Daphnia pulex: one gene and its partner. The protein of the gene in region 2 interacts with the protein of the main gene of each other region in a pairwise test. Links are inferred from orthologs where the notes say so. Each region holds a gene or a part of one and is shown on either strand. Other genes may lie near its edges.

The links. The genes of interacting proteins can lie anywhere in the genome.
Region 1: the proteins of actin-related protein 10-like (region 2) and transcription factor BTF3 homolog 4-like interact in a two-hybrid assay, tested with the Drosophila melanogaster proteins (2 studies listed by BioGRID). The link is inferred for Daphnia pulex from reciprocal best matches to the Drosophila melanogaster genes Arp10 and bic.

What each region holds. Positions count from the first base shown.
Region 1 is NC_060019.1:5,796,351-5,799,600, forward strand, and holds transcription factor BTF3 homolog 4-like, read right to left. Parts: upstream 1,976-3,250; 5' UTR 1,817-1,975; exon of another isoform or gene 1,741-1,816; intron 1,724-1,740; exon of another isoform or gene 1,610-1,723; intron 1,529-1,609; 5' UTR 1,528-1,528; coding exon 1,251-1,527; intron 1,183-1,250; coding exon 881-1,182; 3' UTR 502-880; downstream 1-501. Other genes in the region: tyrosine-protein kinase transmembrane receptor Ror2-like, read right to left, coding at 3,149-3,250.
Region 2 is NC_060027.1:4,051,261-4,054,814, reverse strand, and holds actin-related protein 10-like, read left to right. Parts: upstream 1-1,224; 5' UTR 1,225-1,362; coding exon 1,363-1,424; intron 1,425-1,491; coding exon 1,492-1,644; intron 1,645-1,701; coding exon 1,702-1,810; intron 1,811-1,863; coding exon 1,864-2,039; intron 2,040-2,155; coding exon 2,156-2,504; intron 2,505-2,572; coding exon 2,573-2,774; intron 2,775-2,834; coding exon 2,835-2,968; 3' UTR 2,969-3,029; downstream 3,030-3,554. Other genes in the region: brachyurin-like, read left to right, coding at 10-149, 227-565; probable methyltransferase TARBP1, read left to right, coding at 3,431-3,554.

The DNA.
Region 1 (3,250 bases), on a different chromosome or scaffold from region 2:
GCGTCAAATCGCTGGCTGACTTCTTGACGCAGCCCTTATCCTTTCCGTTCTGATGGAATCCGGCCGAACGTTTCGGCCCATGTTTTGGCAGTAAAGAGGCATCGAGAAAGTGTCGCGGGGTCTCTCGCCCACTGAGCTGACGCTGCGGGACAAGTTCCAGTTGGCCGTGTTGCTGGAGAGGAAAATGTGTGTAGTACATATGATAGTATATGTTAGTATGCATATAAGAGCATTAGTACCTACTATACGGTGGAGTTCCTTCATGCTGGCCTGCCTGAAGTGAATGATGTTTCCTTGGCCTGATCCCTGCTACACCAGGTGACTATATTTGGGACTTACCAACTCCTATTTCTCCTTGATCCCCTCACCTGGATTGAATTGAAATTTGTTTGCAGTGGGAAGATGCAATGTAAAAGAAAAAGTTCACGTTACTCTTACAACTACTCAGTACCCTAAATGTTTTGCACCGTTGGATTCTTTTTTCAATAAATTTTAAACAAGTTACTAATCAATTGATGGTGTATTAAGATTTTTATGACGGGGAAACATTGCAGCCAGAAGCTCATTCTCTGTTTGATCTGAGGACTTTCACAAACAGCCAATAACAATAAGAAATCATCCCTGTTTTTCTTTTTCGTTCAGTGTGTAATACGAGTACAGTTGTTGCTTTCCCATGATTAGTAATGGCCTAAAGTGGGACCATAGGATTACATCCTTTTGTAATAGAAAAGGAATTAAAGAAAAAGGAAAAAAAAAACTAGAAAAGTGAAGGGAGAAGGAAAGACAAAATAGAAAACAGTCAAGGTTGATTTTCCTTTTGCCGGCGCCTGCTTGTTCCGACTGCATCCTTCACGTTGTTGCCGGTATTCCGTCTTCATGTTTATTCTTCTGCTTTGGGAGTCTCCGCAGCTTTGACTGGTTCGGCAGCTGTAGCAGCAGGGGTTTCAGCTACCTTGACTTCGGCTGTCGACTTGGTCTCAACAGTGGGCGCCTCCTTCTTGCTTGGCTCGTCAAAGTTGTCAACTAGATCGGGAACCTCATCATCTTCTTCGGTTGTCGGTAGCGTAGCCGATGATGCTCCACCCTGTCCACCGGCAGAGGCACCTACTATCCTTTCTTTCAAGTGTGCCAAACTTTCAGTTGGCAATTGGTTGAGGATAGCTGGCAACATATCAGTGATGGCTGCAAACAAACAATGACAGATGAAATTAATAAACTTGGGAATGGCATTAACTTTTGTGAGATCTTACGTTTGTGTTCAGCATGACCGGTGATGGCAAAAGTGTTTGCCGCTAGAGAAGCCTGTACTTTAGGGTTGTTGAAGTGGATGATTGTACCATCATCCTTGAACATGTTGACTTCCTCAATCCCAGGGATGTTGTTGACTGTCAGTTTTTTCAAGGAACTTTGAAGCTTCTTGTCATCAGTGGTAGCAGTACGGTGGACAACTTTCTTCTTCCTGCGAGCAGTACCAGGGCCCCCGATCCTCACTTGAGATTGCAATTTTGCCAACTTCTCTGCATTCATTCTGCAAAACAAGAAGAACATTGTTAAATCAGTTAACATTAAGGTTAAACATGAAAAAGATGAACAAATTATCACTGTATACTCTAAAAATAATTATGAGGGCTATTTTTAACCGACTAAGACCATGCGGCCAAGGTTTGCTGTTTTTAACGAATTGTCAAATGTCACTTCATAAGAAGAACAGCAGTTCAACATGACTGTAGTCGGACTTACTTCACTTTTTCACAAGTTACAGATATATAACAAGTAAATTTAAGGACGAGAACTGCGGGAAACTGTTAAAACGAACCTGTAATATGTTTGAGGCACGTGAAGCACACGAGATCGCGGCGAGGAGGAAGATGGCGGTGGCGCCGTAGAAGAATATTGTGTTTAGGGCTGGTGTATAGGGATAGTCAATTGAAACACTATTACAATTCGCTCATCGTTTCAATAAATATTTAAAACTAAATACGGTAAATCATTGTTTAGAATTTACAAATATTTTATGGATAAATTAATTATAATTATAAAGATAATTTGGCAGTAATTTTTTTTTTTAATTTTGTTTTGATGCGTGACGTAGTGCGCGACTTTCGAAATGTCGTCGCCAGGTTCGCCTCCAAATTGCATTATATATAACTCTGCATAACCATTTTTGCTTATGAATTAAAATAATAATTAATATTTTAAAATCACTACCATGTTTTTATTTTTATTGATCGCTTTTTAAAAAATAAAAAATAAATAATATTTTACTGAACGCCATAGCGTAATCTTCTCTACTTAGCGATAGCGAAGCCGTACCCAGTTCTTTAATATTGCAGGCTATTACAGGGCATTCTAAAATTGAACACGTGACCCTGAAGGGCTTGTCTTATGAGGTTAAGAAGCTCAAAATGTAAAGAACAGCTCCGCTTTGGAGAGCTACTGAAAAGAGAAAATCACTTATTGATTTCTGCTCATCAAGCAGGCACGGAAATGAATAGACAATGATGTGATGCTGTTGTACTGCAAAAAAAGAGTATATTGACTAACAGTGAGTTGATACATCCATCTCTCTGCCCTGCAAGATAGATAAGATAATTGCAACATGTTTACTTATTAGACAACTGTTACCAATGGTGTACGGTATGCACGACACAGCGAAAACAAACGAAAAGAAACACACCAAAAACTGAAACAAAAAACCCAAAAAGTGAAAAGCTGACTTTGTCGAAAGAGATCTTGGCTCAAGTTATTTTTTTTTTTTCTTTTTCAAATGATGAATATTTCTTCTCCTACCAGAAAAGAACAAAAGGGACACACACAATATAAACGCTAGATGCACATCAGATCCCACAGAGACTCTTATTTTTCCTCGCTCGATAAGCACAAACAAATGCGGTAGCCAAAGGCGAGCTATGACTGAGAAAAAAAAAAACCCAAACCCCCTCTCCCCCCCCCCTCAAAAAAAAGAGACAAAAGAAATATGATATGATTGAGGTTGTGCAGTGTTACACGAGTGCTCGATTGAAAAAAAGATTTCAAAGTAATTTAAATATAATGGGCATTTTTTTTTTGTTGTTGAAAAAAGGACTGGTAGAGTTTTTAAAGATGTCGTTTTAATTTTCTTTCTTCATTTCTAGAAAACAAAAAAAATTCAAAGGTGAACGGGAGGTGGATCAGTATCGGGACGAGGTTGGCAACAAAGTGCTTCTTCGATAGCCACAAGCTCGTCGTGCAGGTCGACGAAGCTGGGCCG
Region 2 (3,554 bases):
GGTTTTTAGGTAGTGTTTTGGGCAGTTCAACACTTCGTAAGGTGACAGTCCCAGTCATCACCAATAACGAATGCAAGTTGACTTATGGCAAACTCGTCTCAGATAAAATCATTTGCACTAGCGGAAACAATTATCGTGGAACATGCAACGTATGAAACGTCCATTGCCCCATAATGTGTTCTGTTTTCTAGTCTTTATGAATCATAAACTTATTCATGTTCAACAGGGTGACAGTGGCGGCCCAATGAACTACAAAGGGTCGGACGGCTCGTGGAAGCAAATTGGTATCGTTTCGTTCGGCTCGACTGAAGGTTGCCAAAAGAATCATCCAAACGGTTGCACCAGGATCAGCTCGTATTCGTCATGGATTCAAAGTATCATTTCACCTTCATCATCTTCCACAACATCCACGAAAATCCCCACAACCGCCTATAGCTCGACAACAAATAAGGTGACTACAACACAGCCGTCTTCCGGTGGTCATCAAACTTCCGCCTTCTTATCGTCGTCACTCATTTCAATTCTTCTCTTGATTATCTGTATTGGACCCATTTATGGAGTCTGAAATTGAGATAGCGGGCATGACTACACATTTATGCCATAGTTGATCAAATAATCTATGGCTAGGCAAGTATACATTACATTTCACGAATTATAAATTGTTTGCAATTTAACAGAGTGATGAAGTTTATGCAATCAAAAATAATTAAATTGTTGAAATATTAAGAGCTGTGCTCTAATAAATAAATAGAAAATGAGTTTTACCTAGAATTTATTGTCCTCGCCTTGTCATTCAAATGAGCTGCAAATAGTCTAGAGACTAGCCTTGGGAAATTAATAGAAATTATTTCTTCAAGTTCTAAGAAAAGGCGAAAGTATATGATAGGCCTGTTTGAATCTTCTAGCGGTTGGATGAAAAATTCCATTATATTGCGTAAGCTATCATATAATGCAATAAACTAAACTTCATCAGCCGGCTTGATTAGATACCAACAAACCGAGACGTAACTTGTGCCATAAATCCTGGGAGCAGATGAGAAGGCGTTTTGCGACACACCCCACACCCTAAAAAGAAAGAGGAAAAGAGAAAAAAAAGATATAGAGTCAAATCCCAATCCCAAAGAAACCTTTCAGGCTTTGAACGGACGGAAATTTTAACTTTGGCGCGCTAGATGTTATTTACATAGATGGCGTGGTAGCCATCTAGCGAATGAAGTCGGAACTATTTTTACTATTTTGAGTAATGGCCGTCAGCAGTCCCCAAAGTGGTCAGCTGTGTTGGTGTTGTTTTATGACAGTTTCAGTGCTTACAGTTACATGAGTATTACAATTAATATTTAATATTGGTAGCGTTTAATCGAAATGCCCATACACGATAATGATCGTCATGCAGTTGTCCTAGATATCGGACGAGCTTACACCAAGTATGTTTTGTAAACAATTTGTCTGATGAAGTTCCAACTGGTACATTATTCACTTACTGGTTGACAGGTGTGGTTTTGTTGGTGAAAACGAGCCGCGAGTCATCATTCCATCCAAATTAGATGGCTCCAAAAAAGGTGAAGGAGTTTACCTTCATGAATATTCCAGTGAAAAAGAACTTCATTTCAATCTGGTCAAATTTCTCCACCACATTTTCTTTAAGTATTACTTTTATAAAACTTGAATTCAACTGAAAAAAACTAAGGTTTGGTTTTACAGGTATTTATTAGTCAATCACCGTGAAAGAAGGATTGTGATTGTGGAATCTTTACTATGTCCTACAGAGTTTCGTGAAATTCTAGCCAATGTCCTTTTTGTTCATTTTGAGGTACTCTACCAAGCATTGTCCCAGATACGATTGTGAGAAACATTTTATTTTAGGTACCATCTGTCTTGTTTGTGCCTTCTCACCTTGTCACACTTTATACCCTGGGGATCAACACTGCATTTGTGATTGATATTGGACATGAGGAAACAACGATGATACCAGTTTGTGAAGGAACTCCTTTGATTCATGCTTGGCAAGCTCAACCTCTTGGAGCAAAAGCCATTCAAGGGTAATCATTCACTTGAACACAAATTTTTTTACTTGCAATGAATATTATTTAACATGTAGCTGTAAATATTTTCTGATTCAGCAATATGACATTACTAATTGTTGAAATATTTTCAGGCGGTTGGAATCTCTTCTATTGCTACGCGCCAAGGTCCAGGGAAGTGATGGTCAGAAGGTTGACTTGGTTGATGTCATTCCTAAACTATCACGTGGAATCTTAGAAGACATTGTGGTGCGCACTTGTTTCGTTACTACACTGCCAAGATCCCGCCAGCTTGTTGCTTCCCGGACAAATGAAGCAGGGCCATCGCCCCCTGTTCCCCCTCCTACCATTCTCTATCCTTTGTCCGGCAATAATAATTTGACTCTTGATGGATCTGTTCGTGAAGAGTCAGCCGAGGTCCTCTTTGAAACGGACAATGAGATGGTTTCACTCGCTTCGATGATTTTGGATAGTATACTCGCTGTACGTAAACATCGTTAAAAAAGTTTTCCTGATTATAGATTGATTTTACGTTGATTTTTGTAATTTAGTCGCCAATTGATTTTCGAATTCCACTAGCGGAGAATTTGGTAATAACTGGCGGGGGATCAATGATGCCTGGACTAAAATCTCGTTTAGTGTCGGAAGTAAAGGATCTCCAGCAACATCCAAAGTACTCAAGCCGGATTGCTCTTAAGGCCCTAAAAGTTCATCGGCCACCAGCTAAATCAAACTATGCCGCTTGGCTTGGAGGTTTATTTTACTCAAATTATACCACGTAAACTGAAATCAATTAAAATATATTTTTAATAGGGGCTATTTTGGGAGCAACGGAAGCGATCGCCACACGCAGCTACACTCGCGAAGTCTACTTGCAGACTAATCATGTTCCCGATTGGAATAATTTAGCGGATAACACCAAAGAAATTGATAGTAGAGCTGGTTAACTAAATAAACAGTGCTAATAAATCAGTTTTTTTCACAAAATAAAAGTTAAACTATCGTCAAGACGTCAACTGCTTATTTAAACTATTTCGAAAATAAAAAATTTAATCCTTGGAGTTATTAGCTAACTTGATAGAGGCATGCATAAACTAAACTAGAATTCCTGAGCCCTGAAAATTCTTTCTTTCTAAATTCCACAATGAATAAAAAATCCGTAACATTTGGTTAATGGTTTTCCTTTATTTTAAATTGACAAATCGATTTTTAATCTTCATCGATATCTCGATACTGTCATTCCGAACAGTCGTCTGCTAAAAAACGTGTTGCTGTAAATTCTTTCAGAAAATTTTAGTTTAAACTGTCATTTGAATTCAATTCAGTTGATAAAGGAAACTGCGAAAGTTTTCTATTGGGAAGGTTTCAGTTTATCACTTTGTTCTATTGCCTACTGCCGGTGATCTAAAATGGGTGAGGAAATTTCTGCAGTTCTAAATTTCATCAGTGAAAGGAGTGTGGAAGAGGCTATCGAAAAAGTTGTGGACGAGATCAAATTAAGTACCAATCTTGATCACAGTTGGAAGGTTCTTC